Linked DNA regions of Pelodiscus sinensis. The protein of the gene in region 3 interacts with the protein of the main gene of each other region in a pairwise test. Links are inferred from orthologs where the notes say so. Each region holds a gene or a part of one and is shown on either strand. Other genes may lie near its edges.

The links.
Region 1: the proteins of SEC23B (region 3) and HOXA3 interact in binary tests that used the Homo sapiens proteins (3 or more experiments, as listed by UniProt). The two-hybrid records come from large-scale screens. The link is inferred for Pelodiscus sinensis from reciprocal best matches to the Homo sapiens genes SEC23B and HOXA3.
Region 2: the proteins of SEC23B (region 3) and PRRC1 interact in binary tests that used the Homo sapiens proteins (3 or more experiments, as listed by UniProt). The two-hybrid records come from large-scale screens. The link is inferred for Pelodiscus sinensis from reciprocal best matches to the Homo sapiens genes SEC23B and PRRC1.

Annotation. Positions count from the first base shown.
Region 1 is NC_134712.1:196,583,060-196,590,630, forward strand, and holds the start of HOXA3 (homeobox protein Hox-A3), read left to right. Parts: upstream 1-4,571; 5' UTR 4,572-4,709; intron 4,710-7,426; exon of another isoform or gene 7,427-7,571. Other genes in the region: HOXA7 (homeobox protein Hox-A7), read left to right, coding at 472-847, 1,772-2,055. UniProt on the Homo sapiens protein: Sequence-specific transcription factor which is part of a developmental regulatory system that provides cells with specific positional identities on the anterior-posterior axis.
Region 2 is NC_134716.1:51,694,206-51,701,693, reverse strand, and holds the start of PRRC1 (protein PRRC1), read left to right. Parts: upstream 1-4,488; 5' UTR 4,489-4,508; intron 4,509-4,545; exon of another isoform or gene 4,546-4,703; intron 4,704-4,821; exon of another isoform or gene 4,822-5,206; intron 5,207-7,488. UniProt on the Homo sapiens protein: May act as a regulator of the protein kinase A (PKA) activity during embryonic development.
Region 3 is NC_134713.1:193,975,824-193,983,516, reverse strand, and holds the start of SEC23B (protein transport protein Sec23B), read right to left. Parts: upstream 3,106-7,693; 5' UTR 2,949-3,105; intron 1-2,948. Other genes in the region: serine hydrolase RBBP9, read left to right, coding at 5,115-5,225, 6,149-6,191, 7,297-7,402. UniProt on the Homo sapiens protein: Component of the coat protein complex II (COPII) which promotes the formation of transport vesicles from the endoplasmic reticulum (ER).

The sequences.
Region 1 (7,571 bases), on a different chromosome or scaffold from region 3:
AAAATAACGGAGACAGGAAGAAATATGTGCCTAGCCATACCTAGCTTTTCTAAAGCAATACAGCTCTGGAATAGGGAGATCTGCATCGCACAACATACGGCTTAAGTTTAATCACAGAACCAAATAAATCTCTGTTTATTTACTTACTCTACTTTATAGGGATCTTATAAAATATCATCTACCATGTGGCTCCCTTAACCAAAAGCCCTCTTGTCTTTAATTTGTTAGACATATATTTGATCCTCTTCCCCTTCCATTATAGGACATTGTGAGACACCCTGATCTATACCACCTGTGATGCAGGAGGAGATTGGAGGATGGGGTCATATGACTGGTCACGTGCTGGAGGCAGCTCAGTCCAAAAGAAAATGGGGTTTGGTGTAAATCTGGGGGTGTAATGTTATCATATATCACGCTACCTCGTAAAACCGACACGGAAGCCTACCGGACAACAAATCACAGGTCAAAATTATGAGTTCTTCGTATTATGTGAACGCTCTTTTTAGCAAATATACGACGGGGGCTTCTCTTTTCCAAAATGCAGAGCCTACTTCTTGCTCCTTTGCAACCAACTCTCAGAGAAGCGGCTATGGACCAGGGGCTAGTGCTTTCACCTCCTCCATGCCTGGCTTGTACAATGTGAACAGTACCATATATCAAAACCCGTTCTCTTCCGGATACAGCCTGGGCTCAGATGCCTACAACCTGCATTGTTCCTCTTTTGATCAGAACATTCCCGTCCTCTGCAATGATCTAACCAAACCCAGCTGTGAGAAAGCGGAGGAAAGCAACCTGCACAGCCAGGCTGAGGCTAATTTCCGGATATACCCCTGGATGAGGTCTTCAGGTATGGGGAACGGAGAGGGCAAAGCGATGGCAGCCAGGCAAATGTGTAGCCGAAATTACTGTCAGCACAGCCTTTATGGTTTTAATTATAGCAGAGGCGCCATTGCGTAGAAAGCCCGTGGCATTGTATGTAAATGAGTATCATAAAACTTTTTATTGCTCAATTAATGGGTTCTAGCCTCGTAAATTTATTTAAGTCAATTTGCTGTGGAATTTTAGTATTAAGTTTATTTGTTCGGTTTGCTAGAGAAATATCGAGAGCTGGCTCTGTACTCGGTGAGCCCCCACGGGTCAGTGTTCCCCGCCCCCACCCCAACAAACGGCACAAACAATCATATTTACTGGGAAAGGCAGAGGAAAGAAGGGCTCTGAGGAGGGGAGAAAAGACAATTTCAGAGGGGGCAGGGGTGTTCTAGCTCCTTGTGAAATGTGGCATGTGTCTTGCCTGGGGATCAGGTTTTGTATACAAGTACAAGGGGGGAAAAAAAGATCTAGCAAATGTGAGGCTCTGCCCTTGCATCTATTGCTAGTATGTGGATCTCGTCTGAGGGGGGGAAAAACGCCTGGAATAAATAAATACATGCAAATATTCCAGACCCTGCTTTATTTCCCTTTGTGAACCACGAAAGTCTCCATGGAGGACGCTGTTGAAACGTAGCCGAGTGTAACGTTCATCCTTTAGAAGGCAACATTTTTTTGATCTTACACCGAAGTGGAGAGAAAAGGTTTATTCCAGATAAGTTAATTTGCCATGTTTGAGCCGGGCAGGCTGTCCGAGAGAAATGCCTTTGTTGGGAGGGGGGAGGGAATAAAGGAAGAGGATTTACTCCAGTTGCTTGATGACTGTTTGTAAATACCAACTTTCCATTTAACTGATTAGCGTCATGTTTCTGGCTAACTTCTGCGCCTGTTTGCCTGCTTTCAGGTCCAGATAGGAAGCGGGGTCGCCAGACGTACACTCGCTACCAGACACTGGAGCTGGAGAAGGAATTCCACTTCAACCGCTATCTGACTCGCCGGCGGAGAATAGAGATCGCCCATGCTCTGTGCCTCACTGAGAGGCAGATCAAAATCTGGTTCCAAAACCGGAGGATGAAATGGAAGAAAGAGCATAAAGAAGAGAGCGCCAGCACCCCAGCGACCAACGAGAACACGTCAGCAGCAGCGTCTGTGGAGAAAGTGGAGGAAGAGGAGGAAGAAGACGAGTAAAAGCCCCCATTTGATGAAGCAATCTCTAGTATTATGTATGCACGTGACAGTTGTAAAAGCTCTCTTGAAAAAAGACTCACTGTTTTATTTTCAGTATTCGGTTCCCCTTAATGAACATCTTGTAACCGAGCATTTTAGAACATGAAAAGGTCCCCTCCCTTGACTTGTCTTCCAGTCCCCACCTTCCCAGAGCTCCCCTATTTCCTGCCTAACCGAATTATAATCTCGCATAAAGTCATCCTGGTCATCTTATTTTCGTTTGCCCAAACCTAGGCTGTTTTGTTTGAGAACATTTGCTAGAGAGAACTACTCCTTGCACATGCAGGAAAAAAAATCACTTCCAGCGTAACTACCTGACTCAATTAGTCCCAATCAGTTGTGCAGGGGAAAGTGCATTAGGATCACGTAAAAAAACTACCTAACTTAGAATAAATAGTTCTGCACTTCCTGTTTGCTTTTATTTAAATAGGTCAAAACAAACAGACAGCATTAAACAGCAAGTGGAAAAAAAAATACCCTGCAAAAAATAATGAAACAGAAACCACTACATCCTGCAATTATTTGTACTACCTATCTTCCAGACTACCTATTTCTTGTTCCGCCTACCTATCTTCTACGCTATACTGTATTTTATTAATCAAAAGAAAATAACATACTAATGTGAATTGTAGAATGCTTTTAGTAACGTAAGTGTAGTCCTTTAAAAAGTACGCATCAATAGCTTTGGTATATAATTTGGTACCGAAAATGCTAAATATATTTAAATTGAAAAATAATATATTTATTCCAAAGCAATTATAAATGAAAACCATATGCTGCAGTATATCTTTCTTCTCAGTCCTTTACTATTCCGAGTGGAGAAGAAAACACATGCTAATATTGTACAAAGCGCTTTAATAGCTTCTATTGGCTTCTACCTTTTGAAGTACACTGTTACAGGCCGGTTTGTTTTCTAAGCTCATCCTACTTAAAATAGCGGAAACTGTTTCTTTAAAAACTGAATTAAGACGACTATGTTAGCGCCTCTCAAAAATCTTTTTGTCCTGATTTCGGAATGTGTTAATATGTAATACCGTGATTTTTCCTACAATAGCAAATACTGTATATTTAAACGATTTTTTTGTCATTGATATTGTCTTGAAATCATTTGTAAGATCACGTCATAAACTGAGAAGTCTGTAATTAAATTGGTATCTTGGTAGCATGATGTCTTGTTAAGATTTCTGTATAAATCCTTCATGGAGGTTTGGCTAAAGTTTATTCATAAATTGTACGTTACAATGTGTTTCGATGTGTTCATTGTGAACATTTGAATATACCGTGTAAGTATTGGCAGTGGAGGACAAAAATGTATGTTCACTCTCTTTGGAAGTGATACCGTGTTCAAATATCTCCCACAATAAATGTGTTTTATGTTACGCAGAAAATAAATATGCTTGTTGACAATGAATTGTGTTTCTTTATTAAGGAGCAGTTCAAAGGAAGCATAAAACTGACATGGCCAAGTAAAGAAATAAGATCAAATATGTAATTTTCATTTGCACTCAAAACCAAAAATTCATAGGCGATGGATTGACAGGACTCAGTCAGTTTCGCTAACTAGCGTTTTCACCTGGGTTGATTAATTAAGCAGAGAGCACTCCTGAAGCGAGAGGCTCCTATGTGCTTCGGTGAAATTTTAAAAGCACAGTAGACATGAAACCTGCCTATACGCCGGCGGAAATCCGCATTAGCGAAATAATACTTGATTGTAGACGCGAGCTGCAATGCGAAAGTTCCAAGTGTTGAAGCTGTAGTCAGGTGTGTGTTTGCGTGTCAGTCATAGTAGGGGACAATAGAAAAAAATATAAAATCAAAACATATAATTAAACCCACCCGTCTATATGTCAAAAAAAAAATCTCCCTGCCTATTATTAGAAAACGAAAAGCAGGTACCGCATTTTAATATCAAATTTTAAAAGATTATGCATGAAAGTCTCGTTGGAAGGAAGGAAAAAGATAGAGATAATGATTCCCTTCTCTGCAGACTAGTTCCCTACCTCTGCGGTGTGGCAAATGTTCTAATTGCAATTTTAATAGAATTAGATCAAACTCTAGGTCTTTTAAAACTCTAGGGCTGCCTCTCTGGTAAGATGGCGCCTCTCTAAGACCTGCCTCTTCTTAGTGATGAGGAAAAGGCCATAAATCCGTTGTTGTTTATGAAAATTTACAACTTTGCAATACAACTTTATGAGTTGCTCGGTTTTTCCATTGGTCGCTGTCGGTCATGTGGATGGTAACCGTGAACATGAACTTTTTTATAATTTCCCTTGCGAGAATAGAGCTGCATTCTTTAGCTCAGCTCTGTCCTGCTTCGGATCTCTCTGGCTTTCAATCCCCCATTTCATTTGTTCTTTGTAAGGCAATAGTGAACCAAGTGTATGGAGGTTCAGCATAAGCAGCCGCCTAGAACACAGACCCTGGATGGCAATTTCCAATTCCTCCGCTGGAAGGTGTGGCATATTGGATTCAAAGCACTGGAGTGGCAGATTTTCAACTTGCAACCTGGCTAATTTCCTGCTTCTTCTGGCACCAAAAGGAGGGCGATTCGTCTCCTGTGCAGCCAAAGCGACAGCTGTCAAAGTAGCAGGGGCTCTGCGAGCCAGAACCTAAAGGTGAGAAATGTATATAACAGTATCTTAAGCAGGGTAACATTATTTTAATATCCATATATGCATTTATGATACCCGCATATGTAATATATGTATGTATATATTATACATGGAATGATACCAGTTGAAGAATTACCAACCTATTATTTAGCTTGTTTAAATTTAGACAATGCATGCAACAATACAAGTGTTTATTATTTAGCAAGCCTGACGTGTAATTTTAATAAAGGAGATTTAAAAGATTGCTATCACATTCACCTTCGGATTATTTTTATTTTTATTATTATTTATTTATTATTTCTTTTATCACTCGGATTTATCAAATTAGGTGGAGATAATTTGCTCAAGAAAACTATTTTCATTTTGTTTCCCAGTATTTGCAAATTCATTCGTGTTAACGGCAATTTAAGATGTTTGGAAATGCACTTACAATTTCAGACAGAGACCAACCGGCATAATATCTTCTCGTTCCATAAAATGTCTAGGAGAGAGAGAGAGGGAGAAAGAGAGCGAGAGAGGGGGGATATTTCTGGAACAGTAGAATAGGAGAAATGTGTGCATAGGTTGCTTTAGCGGATAAATCACTTGTATACAGTATAATTGTGTCACGTCATTGTGTTGCGCGGAGCTTGAACAATATTACAGACATTTTTCTAAATACGTCGCTTCTGGAGTAATTCTATCTAAAGCTGGATTTTAAGCCATCCGTCCTACACCAGATGCTGAAATGGAGCTTTTTCGATGTCAGTGGAAGCAAATAAGAGGTACAAGGGTCGATTTAGTTATAGTTTTGAAAAATGGAACACGGGGCGGGTGGGGGGAAGGAAACCGAGCTGGGCACAAGGGGTTTTAGCACGGCATGGGCATCAGAACGTGGCTTTCACCGATCTGGCGTTGCTTCCTATGTTTGTGTGCTGGAAACCGCGGCATTGGTTCAGGGTTCTGCTTCTGTGATATCTCGATATTCATTACAGTAATTAAAAATGAGCTGCGAGCGCTTTAAATGCTAACGGCGGCGTTGTTTGTGTTCTCCGGGCTGATAAAGAATTACATTTGCATTGCATTGCAGTAGCTGCGTGGCTGCAACTGCAGTGAGTGTCGGGTTATTTATGGCGGAGCGACAGGCTCTCAGTGCTGCCACTGTGTGGCGGAAACAAGGCGATCCAAAGGCAGCAGCAAGCAAGAGGCGAATTGTCTGCAATCCTCTTGGAGAAATCCTAACAAAATTCGGCCTACCTAGGGACCCCAGTCACTCTCCACCCCGGACGGGCTAATTCTACAGGGCGGGGCTTCGTGTGGTTTTGGTTTGTTTTGTTTTTAAACTTGTGTTGTGCGTCGAAAGCAAAATGTCACCGTGTGAACTAGTTTGAAGGGGGGTAAGATCGAGGCTGCCCAATGACACTACTCCTACCAGTTCAATCTAAACAGTGGTTTGGAGGGCAAAAATTGTTTGGATTATAGGCTATCTGTTAAAGGTTGTTTTCTGTTGGCGCTATGAACATATGTAAGCGGATTCAGAAGGGGGCTTTTAAGTCGAAGTGGGTAACTGCTCCCTGCACCTGTACTCCAGCGTTGGTTGAATTATGGAGTCTGTGAAAGAAAGAAAGAAAGAAAGAAAGAAAGAAAGAAAGAAAGAAAGAAAGAAAGAAAGAAAAACAAAGAAAAACAATCCGCGTCTTGTTAAAGTTCTAATCAGGTTTTTTCAACTGCGTGCTGACATTTAAAAAAATAATTTAAAGCATACGGAAGGCGCAGGTCTGCTCACTTTGTTACAATTACAGAAGTGCAATTGGGAACTTTTAAATATTCACTTTTCCAAAATAAGTGTTCTAAATAGCTGCCATTAAACCTGTGTGACTCGGAGCACTCCCGCTTAAAGCTTTGTTGTGGCGGGGTGTTTTGATTTTGTTTTTGTTTTGTTTTTTGCATATTGAATATAACTAAAACCACGATGGCCATGCAAATTGTGTAGCTGCTGCTGAGACAAGCCTTAACCATAACAAACGTGTACTTTCATTTACTTTGCGGTTTACTACGGCGGAAGCAGCTACGAAATGTTTTCATTTACTATGCTGAGACATTAGAGATTCTGACTTTGGCTGGAACAAGAATCTCCGATTAAGATTCCTGTGCAAATCATTTCCTCTCCCTTAAAAAAAAAAAGAGATAATAACCAATGTGAAACCGACATAATAAAATTTAAATATTTATCAACCTCTCATTTTTTCCTGATGGATCCAATGCGTCTTCAAAGAAGAGCCCTCACGAGCGCAACTTTTTAAAAGAAGTATGGAGTTAGATTTTTGTGTATTCCCCGAATCTGATTTTCATGGCACGTTTCCGGTCTAGTCTCTGCTAAACATTTTCACATAAAAAAAAAACCCCTCAACAACCCCTCATTTGTATTCACCGTTTCTCCTCCGCACACATAGTGCAAATTCATCCGGATACGGATTCTTTTCAGTAGACACCCATAATGTTCAGCTGTTCTCTCAAAGCATATACTGTTTATTCGACCAGATGTGTATATAGATTAGCCCCGGAGCACAGAATAGGGGGGGAAATAAAAATGGAAGGTAATCAACATCTCAGTGTGAAAGTCCAACGGAGAACGCTAACAATACCAACTATTGTGGAGAGATGTTTTAACTCGCCACTGTTTTATAGGTACCGTAATCATCCTCCGGAAATGAGGAACGGAACCTTCCCACAACAGCACAACTCACGTCTCCAAAGCTGGTTTAGGTGTTATCGGAAACAGAACTGGTGCAAATGTCTCTTTAAACATCGGCTCTTCAGTCTGTGGTCATAGGCACGGATTAGGAATTTGGAAGGAAGCATCTTGTTATTTTTAGGAACTGCTGG
Region 2 (7,488 bases), on a different chromosome or scaffold from region 3:
CGAAGCCATGCCTTTGTAAACAGAGGTTCTCACCACTCCCAGGCTATGTCTAGACTGCAGGCTTCTTTCAGAAGAAGCTTTTCTGGAAGAGATCTTCCGGAAAAAATTATTTCAAAAGAGAGCGTCCACACAGTAAAAGCACATTGAAAAAGCGATCTGCTTTTTCGAAAGATAGCATCCAGTCAATATGGACGCTATCTCGCATTTGTTATTACTATGGATGGAGTGGCCACCAGGGCACCTGTGCTTTTTCCTGGAGGCCTCTTCTTTCAGAAAAAAAAACCCCTCAAACTAGTTGTATACTCTATAATTAATTTCTCCAGTCCAGTAACAAGTGAGAACTTCTAAAGCACTATAACAGCGTTAACAAAGTCATGTGGCATCCCTTTGGGTACATATTGGGTCTATGTGGCCACCCAGGCAGTCTTACCTTGGTGATAGTAATCCTTTACAGAAAAAAAAATCTCATCAGTATTTGAGTTTTGCCCCAAAAGCTAATGATTCTATATATTTTGGTTAATCTCTAAGGCTACGTCTACACTGCAATGCTATTTCGGGATACCCGAGTATTCTGAAATAGCAATCCCATGTCTTCACAGCAAGCCCGTTATTTTGGGCTTGCTATTCTGACATCCCTGTAAACCTCATTCTACGAGGAGTAAGGGACATTTCGGAATAGCGCTTTATTTCGAAATTTGGCACAAAATAAGCTATTTCAAAATAGCATCAAAATAAGATGTGCAATTTGCATAGCTATAAGTGCTTATCATATTTTGAGTTATGGTATAGTGTAGACACACTTGAACGTGCCACAGGACTACTAGTTATTTTAAAGTTACAGACCAACATGACTACCCTTCTGAGATCAACATTTGGGTTATTCCCAGCCCCAAAGAACTATTATAACAAAATAGGTAAAAGTTTATTAACAAAACATCATTTACAAGATTTGAACATATACACAACTGAGATACAGTCTCCATTAGTTTCCAAGACAGGCCAACCAGTCCCAGGAGCCCTGGGGAACCAGGTCAAGGAGGGACCATGCCTGAGCCCTGCTGCGCTACCAACTTTTTGCTGGTGGTGAGCAGATACCCAAGTCCCTTTTCTGCCAAGTGTCCGAGGCAGAACATCAGAAATGGCTGCCCGTCGCAGGGAGCCATAGCCTGTAATACCTCTGAGGCTGGTATAGGGGGCTCTGTCTGTGAGGTGGAGTGTTTTCCATATAAGGGCATGTAAATTAATAATCTTCCCCTGCTCGCTCCACCCATTGCAGTAACAGATCAGCTAATGGGCTGACTGGTGCTCAGGCCTGCTACTCCACCCACTGCAGCAAAAACCAACCTATGGGGTGATAAGTTCACAGGCAATAAAACAGGCAGGCAGCCCCTCTCTCACTGGGGATTCGCATTGAGTGAACGCCTGGCCTGATCACCCAGACGCCTTGCACCCCCCGCTCTTGAGTCTTACTGAGCGTACTCCGAGTTGGTCGACCCGAGTGGAGACAGTTTATGAGCGTGTGACCGATACTTGTGTTCCTGCTGTCTCCAGAACTGGTATAACACCCCCCCCCCCCCCAATCATCCCTATCCTAATTGATTTTTTAGTTGTCCTTATTGCTTGCCAAGTGACAGTGGCTAAAAAGTTACTAAGTTAGTTTATAAATAGTTGTGGTTTAGGTTTTTTACTGTTTCCTTGTATAAAGTTGTGTAAATAATCAGCCCTATGGATAATACCAGTGTTAATTCAACTGTTCCTAACCCCTGGGCAGTTATTGGGAATTATTGTGATTTAGAAAAGCCTCAGGGAATTGTTTTGTGTTGTCTGGCAATCTGTTTAATTTTTGTTCTGATGATTGTCTGGCGCCATCAGAATAAAATCAGTTTGTGCTTTTTGAAACCCCCAGTTGTGGTCTCATCCTTTCCGGCATCCCTTCGAACCTAGTGTATTACGGGGACTGACACCAAGCATTCTGCGTGAACACCAGCTGGGCTACGTCTACATTGGCGGCATCTTGCAAGAACAGCCATTCTTGAGCAAAAACTTGCCTGCTGTCTACACAACACATGCGTTCTTGCGCAAGTAAGTTTACAGTATAGCGTTGTAAAACAGGGCTTCTTCCGGAAGAGTTATTCCTCTCCCCAGGAGGAATAAGAACATAAGAACGGCCGTACTGGGTCAGACCAAAGGTCTATCCAGCCCAGTAGCCTGTCTGCTGACAGTGGCCAGCATCAGGTGCCCCAGAGAAGGTGGACCGAAGACAATGATCAGCGATCTGTCTCCTGCCATCCTTCTCCAGCCTCTGACAAACAGAGGCAAGGGACACCATTTCTATCCCCTGGCTAATAGCCTTTTATGGACCTAACCTCCATGAAATTATCTAGCTTCTCTTTAAACTCTGTTATAGTCCTAGCCTTCACAGCCTCCTCTGGCAAGGAGTTCCACAGGTTGACTACACGCTGTGTGAAGAAGAACTTTCTTTTATTAGTTTTAAACCTGCTACCCATTAATTTCATTTGGTGTCCTCTAGTTCTTCTATTATGGGAACTAATAAGTAACTTTTCTTTATTCACTCTCTCCACACCATTCAGGATTTTATATACCTCTATCATATTCCCCCTAAGTCTCCTCTTTTCTAAACTGAAAAGTCCCAGTCGCTTTAACCTCTCTTCATATAGGACCCGTTCCAAACCCCTAATCATTTTAGTTGCCCTTTTCTGAACCCTTTCCAAGGCCAAAATATCTTTTTTGAGGTGAGGAGACCATGTCTGTACACGGTATTAAAGATGTGGGCGTACCATAGTTTTATACAGGGGCAGTAAGATATTCTGTGTCTTATTTTCTATCCCTTTCTTAATAATTCCTAGCATCCTATTTGCCTTTTTGACCGCCGCTGCACACTGTGTGAAAGTTTTCAGAGAACTATCCACGATAACTCCAAGATCTCTTTCCTGATTTGTCATAGCCAAATTAGCCCCCATCATGCTGTACGTATAGTTGGGGTTATTTTTCCCGATGTGCATTACTTTACACTTATCCACGTTAAATTTCATTTGCCATTTTGTTGCCCAATCATTCAGTTTGGTGAGATCTTTTTGGAGTCCCTCACAGTCTGCTGCTGTCTTGACTATTCTAAACAGTTTGGTTTCATCCGCAAACTTTACTACCTCACTGCTTACCCCTTTCTCCAGATCATTTATGAATAAGTTGAAAAGGATTGGTCCCAGGACTGACCCTTGGGGGACACCACTAGTTACCCCTCTCCAATCTGAAAATTTACCATTTATTCCTACCCTTTGTTTCCTGTCTTTTAACCAGTACTCAGTCCAAGAAAGGACCTTCCCTCTTATCCCATGGCAATGTAATTTACACAAGAGCCTTTGGTGAGGGACCTTGTCAAAGGCTTTCTGAAAATCTAAGTATACTGTATCTACTGGATTCCCCTTGTGCAAGAGCTTTTTCACAAGAGGGCTGTGTAGACAGGCAACATGAATTTCTTGCGCAAGAAGCCTCTATGGTTAAAATGGCCATCAGAGCTTTCTTGCGCAAGACAGAATCCACATTGCAATGGATGCTCTTGTACAAAAGCACATCTCTTGCGCAAAAGCACATTCCAGTGTAGCTGTGCTTTTGTGGAAGAGTTTTTGTGCAAGAACTCTTCCGTAAAACAGTTTGGCTGCATCTAGACTGGCATGATTTTGCGTAAATACTTTTAACTGAAAACTTTTTCCGTTAAAAGTATTTGTGCAAGAGAGCGTTTATACTGGCATGTGCCTTTGCACAAAAGATTTGCTTTTGCGCAAAAGCATCCGTGCCAGTGTAGACGCTCTCTTGAGTAAGAAGGCTCCGATGGCCATTTTAGCCAACGGGCTTTCTTGTGCAAGAAATTAACGTTGCTGTCTACACTGGTCCTCTTGCGCAAGAGGGCTTATCCCTGAGCAGGAGTATCAGAGTATTTGCGCAAGAACCACTGCTTTTGTACATTACAAAGTTAGTGTTCTTGCTTAAATACTCGCTGCCGGTGTAGACAAGCGGCAAGATTTTGCGCAAAAGTGGCCGCTTTTGCGCAAAATCATGCCAGTCTAGACGCAGCCTTCTTGCGCAAGAAGCTGCCAGTGTAGATGGAGCCCAGATGCTTGCCAACCCCAGTTGTCAAGTGCAGCCTTTGGCATGAATTGGCACCATGTCTACCAGCATGTCACTGCCTGCCTGCCTCCTCTCTTTTCCATACTTTCATCCCAGTAGAGGCATCACAAGAAAGGCTGATATGAACAGGTGCAATGGCGCCTCCTTGTATTACACCCACTTGCTCCTTTGCACGTGTTCACATCCGGCCTTGCTGGTGGTGTCTGGGGGGGGGGGGGGGCAGGGACAAGGGTTTGCGAAGGGGGCCGCGCAGGGCTGGCGGTGGCTGCAGTGACGGGCTCCGCCCGGCAGGGGTCTGAGCCGGCCGAGGAGCAGGAGGCACAGCTCGGCCAGGCTGCGGGCGGCACATGAAGAGTCCTGTGGTAGGTGGCCGGGACCCCGCCCCGCCCCGCTCCAGCGCCGCAGCCGGCCCCGCCCGCCACAGGCGAACGTGGCAGGAGGTGGCGTCTCGCGCCCAGGCGCGGCCATTTTGGATGCGGGGAGCGAGCGGCGGCGCGGGAAAGCAGCGCCACGGAAGCGTCGCCCCAAGGTCCCGCCAAAGAGGAACCCGCAGCCAGGTTGGGAAGGGAATGGAGGTGTCAGATGCAGCCGCCAGACGTGGCGGCACGCGCGACAGCGGCCTGGCCCCAGGCGCATGCGCAGAGCCGCCAGCGGGGCAGAGACGTGGCAGCCCACACTGGTGGCGGGCGGTATCGCGCATGTGCGGGGCCGCCAAGCCTCTTGGGAGCTGTAGGCGCTCTGCTGGGTCTGCGCCCCCTTCCTTGCCAGGGTGGGCCAGGTCCCGCTCGCGCTCATTCCCCCCCCCCCCCCCTGAGGTTGTGTCCGCGCGGGGCCTGAGGGCGGAGCTTCTGCGACCACGTCAGAGGCGGCTGCGGGGTGACTCACGGAGCGCGGCGGCCCGTTGCTGCCGTTGGGGAGGTTTGTTTTACGGCCGGTAGGGGCGGGGCGGGGCGGGGCGCAGGGGGCTCAGACAATCGATGCTGCTGCTTAGTGTGAGCAGGGCCCCCAGAGACCGTCCCGCTTCCGGGAGCTGCAGCGGCTCCGGCCCGGGGCTGCCGAGGTGGGTTCGCTCTTGGGTTCCAGTGTTGTCGAGAGTTTTCTTCTCTCTTCCGCAGCGCGGGGGCAGGAGTCTCTGGGAACCAAACGGATGCGAGCTGGGCCTCTGCGGGCCGGTCACTGCAGACCCCGCCGCTCTACACAGGGCAGCCTTGTTTGTCCTGCTGGCGTGTAACCCAGTGACCTACTTCCCAGCGCTGGGCGGCTTCTGTGGGTTTAAATAGGGAGGGGTTAATACATCCCCCGAAGGCTGCTCTCCTGGTTCAGTAACCATTTTGTGCTGTGGGGTCTCTGCTCTAGGTCGCTCACTCCTTGGGGTAGGGACCAGCTCTTCTGTCTGACATTTGCTGCCTGCTTGCTGGTATCTGAGGTTTTGTTGGTGCAGTGCTAGTGATTAAATGTGACACTCTTGCAGTCCAGCAAATAGCTGTTTAGAAAACAGTTGTGCCTTGAGGTAGTCTGATCATGGACATCCTTGCTAGGAGCCTGAGAAGAGAGCTGGTCTAGAAAAACTGAAAAGTTGTCATTTTGACTTAACTCCCTAGGGTTTGGGGCAAGTCAGTTACCGTTCATTCCTACTATTGACTCTGTGTGCATGATTTCCTGTGCCCACGTGGCACTTGATTTACATCAGCAAGGCTCTGTCACCTGAGGGGCCTGGCTATCTTCATTAAAAATAACTGGGATCAATCCCCTTATGTCAAGTGGAACTAACATTATTTATTTAGCTGCTTCAGGCGCTTTGTCGAGATAAATTAGTCAGAATGATAATAGCTGATCGTTAGTTGAAGAAGTCAACAGCAAATGGTCATCACAGCATGTTCTGATCTTTTCTGCCTTGCCCAAGGTTGAGCTGAGTGCCACAGGGGCCCAAAAGAGTGTTTCAGAGCTTAAGTCCTTACCCCAGTGCTTGTGAGCTGTTTCCGTTTTCTGGCCTTTAACGAGGTTGTCAAAATATAATGGATTTTAATGAACCACTTTATTAGAAGATGAAACAATATGCATAGGGTGGTATGAGTCTGAGGTCCTTTATCTTTCCCTAGCAGCACCAATTCTTTCATCTCCCCATACACTCCTTCCCCAAAACTAACTTGGATGTCCATCTAACATAGGGGCTACGTCTACACTGGCCCCTTTTCCGGAAGGGGCATGTTAATTTCAGCTATCGCAATAGGGAAATCCGCGGGGGATTTAAATATCCCCCGCGGCATTTAAATAAAAATGTCCGCCGCTTTTTTTCCGGCTTTTAGAAAAGCCGGAAAAGAGCGTCTACACTGGCCCCGATCCTCCGGAAAAAGCGCCCTTTTCCGGAGGATCTTATTCCTACTTCAAAGTACTTGAAGTACTTGAATAAGTACTTGAATAAGATCCTCCGGAAAAGGGCGCTTTTTCCGGAGGATCGGGGCCAGTGTAGACGCTCTTTTCCGGCTTTTCTAAAAGCCGGGAAAAAAAGCGGCGGACATTTTTATTTAAATGCCGCGGGGGATATTTAAATCCCCCGCGGATTTCCCTATTGCGATAGCTGAAATTAACATGCCCCTTCCAGAAAAGGGGCCAGTGTAGACGTAGCCAAGGAAATACTGATTTAATATCTGTAACAGATTTAGGCTATGTCTATACTACAACTTACAAATAAAGCCACCTTTAAGTGACAAAAATTATACTGACCTAAGCGCTGATTGGACAGCACTATATTGGCTGGAAACTTCTGTGGTCAACATGGCACAGCTGCATTGAGGCACCACTGTAAGTTCCCTAGTGTAGCCATAGTCTTAGAAGATGAAAAGGACTACAGTTGATATGAGTATTATTTATATTTGCACCTATACATCCCTTAATTAGGATGCATGTATTCAGGATAGCTTCTCATTTGGGGATGCTTCCTAGGAGTTCATTGGTCTAAAAATAAATGGTGTTTGGTGACAACAGCTGCTTAATCAGGAGAGTATTAATTAGGCATGTGACTGTGCAGCCAAGTACACAGTTAACCAATGAGCTTGGGCCCTCCGTGGACAAAGGCTTTCAGTGGCAGCCGTCCCTGCCCCCCCCGCGCTGCCTCTGCTATAGGCAGCAGCTCAGAGGGACGGCAGGAGGCTCCCACCAAGCACCAGCTCCTGTCAGCCCCCTTCACTGCTTCTGTTTGAGATAGGGTGGTTAAATTGCATTTAATCAGCTGATTGAGTAATCAATGGTATTTCCATTGACTACTTGATTAGTTGATAAAGGGGGGAAACTGCAGTGCTACAGCCTGGTTAGCTTCCAGCCCTGGGGAGAATCCTGCTGCGG
Region 3 (7,693 bases):
TTCAAGCCGCACATTCGCAAATTCTAGGTAAGTGCAGTTAGCAAAACTACCCTATCCCGGGAAACCATTTTGGTTACAACAATCCTGCAGCCCTCAGAGATGAAGGAGGGTCACTCATGAGCCTAGGTTGCCCCTCGCTGCTGTAGCAGCACCACATACACACTGAACCAGACATGACAAGATGAAACCCTGGGAACCCCACACGAGATCATATTCGGGACACAAACTACCCAAAATCCTTGAGACCTCTCAGAAAAGAAAACACAGAAGTGCTCAAGGCAAGACCATATCAGTCTCTGTTAGAATCCATGTTCACGTGATTTGTCAATGGCATTGAGGATAGTTAGAGAGCAAAAAGAATTTGACTTAATCACTATCCACCAACAGGAGACAATCAACCAAGACCACTAATGCAGTTTCTATGTTACACCCAATGCAAAACAGACCTGATGGAGGTCAAAGAGACTGAAGAACGCACGTACTGCTACTGTTTCATGACTATCCTCTATTTCAGTGGTTTTCAACCTGTCAACACAGACTCCTAGGGTTTTGCAGATTATGAGTTTCCAAAGGGGTCCATATCCACTTGACATTTTTTAGGGTTCTGCAAATGAAAACCACTGCTATAGACACTCTTCCTCAGAGCGTTAACCATGTAAGACACAATGAGGAATCCTGTGGCATCTTAGAGACTAACATATTGATTAGGGCATAACCCACTTCATCAGACATAGGAGAAAGATATGTAAGAAATAGTCAGCATCAGGTGTCTTTTTGAGTTGAGGGCGGAGCAGCAGATGCTTTTTTATGCAAAACTAGCACTGTGTCCCACAGAAAGGAAACATTTACAATTAGCTCTCAACACGGTCCATAACCCACCCCAATGGTTGTGTCCAGTTGGCAAAGAAATAGATCTGATCTACAGTGATTTGTCTGTGCTACTCCCACATCTTCACAACTCTAAGAAGCTTCCAGGACTAAATTCCAGAGACAGAGAGAGACAAAGACACATTTGCATGCCCCCCTTTCTCCTGAGAACTAATTCGGCTTTTGCTGAGGCAGAAAGTTTGGTCCAGAGCCATAGACGCTGGTGCTGCTGACTTGAAGCAGTTTCCATTATATTCAGGATTTACAGTTTGGTTCAAAGGACCCTATAGAAATTGTGCCAGCACCCCTGTCCAGAGCTGTTTGAACTTGTCCGCAACATAGGCTGCAAACACTAACTGATATTGTTATCTGGTGCGGCACCTACAGCATGCATGGACATCCTCAAACCCACTAAACAGCACTCATTGCTCAAACCCCCATCCCTCAGGTTCAGAGCTCCCTCCCACATCCTCCCTCGATACTCTCCTTCCTCAGGGTTTCTGTGCAGAGCAGAGCCTGTGAGTCAAACGGGAAGCATCGCAAAACAGGACCTGACAGAATTGGCTACTCCTGACGTAACAGTTAGCTTATCCTGGTTTAGTGAAGGAACGCCTTGCCACTTTAGTTTTAAATGTGGCCTGTATCCGAGATGTTCTCAGAACATTTCTGTGATGTTTGTTAGGCTGTAGGTGTTACCTTGAGAGCGAGATGATCAGGGCAAACAGTTTTTAAAAAAGGAGAAATTGTAGCTGTTTCCTCTGTGAAAGCGAGTCAAGATTTACCAAAAAAACTACACAAAAAATATAACACCGCTCCACACTTTGACCAGTGATATGGGAACCCTCACACCAATGCCAAACTCCTCCACCCCCTCCAATAGCAACATGGTGGCCTCACACACCAACCCCACCCAGAATGGAGGAATCAGTGATGGGGGGGGTCCTCGTCCCTCTTTCACTGCCCAGAACAGTGGCCTGGGGAATCCTCACCCCATTCTCTGAGCGCTCAGGTTGCCACATCCTTCGAGATACAAAACCCCCACAATATTCAGGATGATCTTTCCTCACCACGCTGGGCAGCTGGCAGCGCCCACCAAACACCCAGAGAGACTCCCAGGACAGTGACCCCCAAAACCAGACAACACTGGGGAACCTGGACAGGTAGCGGCCCCGCTCGGCTACAGACCCTGGAGAAGAGCACCCCGACATCAACAGCAGGGTCCTTTCCCCTCCTCGTGTGGCCTGGGGAAAGTGACCCCCACCTTCAATGGGGAGGAGCCCCTCTTCTCACCAGGAGATCCCCTCACCCCATCCCCCCGACGGACTCCCCCTTCTGGCCAGGGGGACCCCCCTCAGCTCATCCCCCACTGGCAGACCCCCCCTTCTGGCCAGAGACACCCCCCCCCTCAGCTCATCCCCCACTGGCAGACCCCCCCTTCTGGCCAGAGAGACCCCCCCCCCTCAGCTCATCCCCCACTTCTTCTGGCCAGGGGGACCCCCCCACCTCATCCCCCACTGGCAGACCCCCCCCTTCTGGCCAGGGGGACCCCCCCCTCAGCTCATCCCCCACTGGCAGACCCCCCTTCTTCTGGCCAGGGGGACCCCCCCATCCCCCACTGGCAGACACCCCCCCCCTTCTGGCCAGGGGGACCCCCCCTCATCCCCCACTGGCAGACCCCCTCTTCTGGCCAGGGGGACCCCCCCCTCATCCCCCACTGGCAGACCCCCCCCTTCTGGCCAGGGGGACCCCCCCTCATCCCCCACTGGCAAACCCCCTCTTCTGGCCAGGGGGACCCCCCCTCATCCCCCACTGGCAGACCCCCCCTTCTGGCCAGAGAGACCCCCCCACCTCATCCCCCACTGGCAGACACCCCCCTCTTCTGGCCAGGGGGACCCCCCCCTCAGCTCATCCCCCACTGGCAGACCCCCCCTTCTGGCCAGAGAGACCCCCCCCTCATCCCCCACTGGCAGACCCCCCCTTCTGGCCAGAGACCCCCCCTTCTGGCCAGAGACCCCCCCCCCTCATCCCCCACTGGCAGACCCCCCCCTTCTGGCCCGGGGGACCCCGCCCGCCAGACCCACCTGCTGGCGGCGCCACAAGCCCCCTCCGGCTCCGCTTCGCAGCGCCCGACGATCCGTGTCCCGGCAGCGCCCGCGCCGGAAAGGCCAGCTCAGCGGCGGGGCTGCCCGCAAGCGAGATGGCGGCGCGGGCGCCTCGGCCGCGACCGTGCCCTTCCCCAACATGGCGGCGCCTGCGCGCGGCACCCAGGCGCCCAAGGGCGGTCGCCATGATGGCTAAGGGCACCCGCGCCTCCATACGGGCTTCCGCCCTCAGCCACGATGGCGGGCGGGCTCCACGCCCCGCCCCTTGCGGGGTTTGCGCTGACTCGCCCTTCCACGGGCGCTGGCAGCTGATGCAGACAGGCCCCGCCCTCCAGCCAGCCCTGCTAGGAGGCTGCAGGGGCGTGGGGGTGGAGCTGCCCTGTGCTCCCTGAGGGGGGGGGAACACCTGGCAACAGTGCACACCTCCCCGCCCCCAGCACACACACACCAGCCTCCCCCCAGAGTGCAGTCACACAACAGGCACCTCAGTCCTGGGACGCGCCTCCTTTGCCGGGCGCTGTTAAAACAAGCGGCACCTTCAAAGGCCCTTGTCTGGCATCAAAGCGTGCGTCCCCCAGGCCTTGTAACAAAGCATCCTCACAGGGCATCCACATTGGCACCGCACAAACCGCTCCTAGGTCCTCACACTGATCAGGGGGCCCACGCGGCCCCGGGGTGCCCCCAAAAAGAGTCAGCACAAACCCACGAACGCAGAGAAATGGGAAACCTGAGGGGTGGAATAAATATTCGGCCACCACGTCAATAGATGCTTGGAGCATGACAGAGGTGGCTATGAAACGATGGAGAAGTGAGATTCAACAAAACACACGCAGTGATGGTAGGTGTTTGCGGGAAGACCAAGGGCCAAGCTCACATCTAGTGTCAGTAGAAGATGAATCCAGTTTTGAAGACTCAAGACTTGATGGACGAGGGGAATTTTTCACTGTCTTAGAGATAAATAGTTAATCGGCTGCGCAGCCATTAAATAACACCCCTATTGTTTGTGTATGAAAGGCTAAGGCTGGTAAAACCAGATGCCATCTCTTGATAAGGTGTTCTCCATTAGCTAAGAACTGATAAAACTCACAGCTGGATGAGGTGTGCATAAGGGGGCAGGCAGGGGCACAGATCTCTTCCCCCTAATAAGCAGCAGGGGATGCAAAGTTCCTCTAGTCTCAGGGCCCTCATGATAATATTATCTACTCAAAGTAACAGTTAATAGTAATTTGCATTGTGTTCCTGTCTGTGGAGCCCCAATCACTGACCAGGACCTAGTGCTAGACACTGTACAAACACCCAACAAAAAGATGCCAATAGCAAAATGAACAGGAAGAAAAGCTCTGTAGATCTTGAAAGTTTGTCTCTCTGCCCAACAGAGGTTGTTGCAATGAAAGATGTTACCTCAGCACCTTATTTCTTTAATATCCCGGGACTAACATGGCTACAACACTGCCAACAGAATTAACAAGTAGTGGGTAAGACGCTATCTAGCTTGTATTGTGATTTTCAGGTCTCGGATGTGTTGCTTTTGTCTCTTATTCACTTGTTTTTTGGGGGCTTCTAGACTCAGAGAGGAACAAATGACAGCAAGGACCATGCTGTGAATCATTTCCTATCATCATCTTAAGAAGTGGGTTTCGCCCACCAAAGCTCAGGATACTACATTCTTGTTAGTCTCTAGGACAGTGGTCCCCAACCTTTTGGGGCTGCCGGGCGCCCGGGGGCGGGGCCATGCACAGGCAGTGCACCCTGGGGCGGGGCCGCACATGCACTGCGAGCCCGGGGCCGGCACCGACATGTGCCGTGGCCCCGGGACAGGGGCCACCCATGCGCCACGCGCCCGGGGCCGGCACAGCACATGTGCCATGTGCCCGGGGCGGGGCCAGCCCAAATTGTTTAGCGGGAGCACATAAATGGCCCAGCAGGCGCCATGGTGCCCACGGGCACCACATTGGGGACCACTGATCTAGGGTGCCACAGCACTACTTGTTGTTTTTAACGTTACCGACTAACACAGCTACCCACTGAGACATTTTCTACCAAGAAAACTACAACTCCCAAGATGCCTCCTTTCTGCCTCCACTCCCAGCCAACCCAACACCGCTTGGCTTGAAACTGTGTTTCCGCTCCTCCTGCTGCAGAGCCATGTCCCAGGTGCAGCTTCCTCCCATGAAAGCTGTTATAGTGCCTGGGAATGGGGCAAGCAATGTAGAGAAATGCAACTGGTACGGATGGGCATGGAAAAGACTAGGGCAGGTAAGACATGGCAGTGGCAAAAGGTTTGATCTGACCTGTTTATTTACGCTCCTGCCTACCTCACCAGCTATTTGGAACACCCTAAGTCAGGCAGGCACCTGGCTTCTTTTTCTAATGAAGTTGTCTGCCCCCAACCTCTGCTTCCCTCTTGTGTGGTTTAGCATATACCTTCCCTTTCTTTAAATCCACAGCTGGCAAGCAGGAGGGGGCTGCGGAAGGGTCCTGCCAGAACATCTGCAGTGAAGCAGAGAGGGGGAGCCTCTTTAGGGAGACTCTTGTTTTTCTTGTGCTAAGAAAGCTTGTTCAGCATTAGATGTAAGCAACTTTTTCCGTGATTCTTGTCTTTGTCATGCGACATTCTCCCCTCCTCCTCCTGGCTTGTTCACAGCTCTCTAGCACTGATTTGAAGGGTGCATGAAGAAGGCTGCAGTGGATAGTGCTTTCTGTAGAGACTCTCACTTGGTTTTCTATACTCCCACTTGGGTATTTCTGTTATGAAGTTCAGCCACTGGACATCACATGGAGGAGAAAACACAGAAATAGGGGATGACTGATTTGCAAACACTAGAGTGCAGTGATTGGTGACCCCTGGGAGTGGGTGGGAGAGATTGCTGGTAATTCAAACAAGAAATATTTGTAAAATCAGCAGTCTTTTTCAACTCCTGGTGCAATATAGTTGCAGTGCTTTACATTTTCAAAGCACCAAGTAAACCCTCAATCTTCTCCATGTGCCTGGGACTCACTCCCTCCCCCCTGCCCAGTGCACCCCAAATATTTAACCTTTCAACCTAACACTGTAGCAAGACCCATCTACATAACCCTGAAGACCCATTGGAGGAAAGCAAGTGTAACCACTGCAACAGTTTGCTTGCCAAGGGACTGCACAACCTTTGATAATGCAATCATTGGTCTTCTCCACACAGATACCTGGTTTCCAGTGTTTACTTCGAAATATGCCTGACCCAGGTAAGTCTGTTTTACCTTCTCCCTGTATTTTGCATTATCCCACTGGCAATATTTCCAGAAAACGAATATGAGCCTGCTTTATCTCAGTGGCTGTCTTCATTCCGGGGGAGTTCCCGCACCCCAATCCAAATGGGATATGTTTGCACTGCAACATTATTTCAAAATAACTGTCTGCTGCGTAGACACGGACTAAAATAACTTAATTAGTCCGCATCTACACAGCAGGTAGTTATTTCGAAATAATTTCAAAATACTGTAAAGCTGGAAGACTTCTTACTCCAACTCCTGTAACCCTCATTGTATAAGGAGTTAGGGAAGTCAAAAGGAAGAGTGCTCTATTTTGAAATAAGCGCTGTGTAAATCCTCTCTATTTTGAAATAAGCTATTTTGAAATAAGCTACGCAGTTGACGTGGCTTAATTTGCGTAGGTTATTCTGAGTTAAGGCCTGCTGTGTAGATGTGCCCTGGGAGACGCACAGCCTGCTGAAATGCTTTGCTGGGGAGAGGGTTTGGATGCTCCTGAATGTTTTATGTGCACATACTGTGATGCAGAACATTGCTCGTGTGCAGACAGTACATGCTTGACTGCGTCCTGCAAGCCCCAGAGATTGTACCAGGCCCTGGATGAGCTGGGTAGCTTAGCAGGGAAGTATTTATGAAGGCCACACTCCAGGTTGCTACTGCTGCCAGTAGTTCTAGACAAATAGTGTCTGTCTCGGCTCAGTTTGCAGCAGACTGGTGTCCACCACACCATCCCCATTAGAACTGGTTTTCGAGAGGCCAAAGACTGAGCCTTGGAAGGTTAAACCTCACACTGACCCTTAAACCTGACATCTCCAGGTCCATGTGGAGTTACTTTAGGTGGGGTAGCAAGGTTGGAACTGGCACAGCTGCAGTGTATGTTTAACTCATAGTGGGGCTAAACAGAGGCCTTTGGTCTTCATAGCTGCTAACCTTACCCCTTCTGCAAGCACTAAACTCACTAAGAATTAAATAAAGAGAAAATCCCCCAGAGAGCTGTATGCAGAGCATGCTAGCTGGGCGTGGGGAGGAGGGGGGTGGATAAGGAAAGGCAAAGCAATTGAATCTCTTCTCTGCAAATCAGTTACAGCTCGAGAGAACATCTGGCTGCCATTCATGGAATCAGAACTGCACTGCGATGGGCAGACTATCCTTATTGGACACAGCTCTGGGGCTGCTGCTGCCATGAGGTACAGTACAGGGGGTAAGGCACTGAGTTTCCAGTTTTGCAGTCTAATGGGATCATGACCATTTCAGCTAATGATCCCAGAGCTGCTCCACTTGAACTCAATGGCAAAATTGCCCCCTGCCGTCAGTGTGAGTAGAATCCTTCTGACAAGATTAGCACCATATGTAAGGGATTGAGAATGTGGTGGGGTACTGGAGGGCTTATCTGCTGTTGAAGAACTAGACATTTAACAGTGGGAACGGAAAGCCACAGTAAAATACCCTCAGCTAAATCTAATGTAATAGTTGGGGTG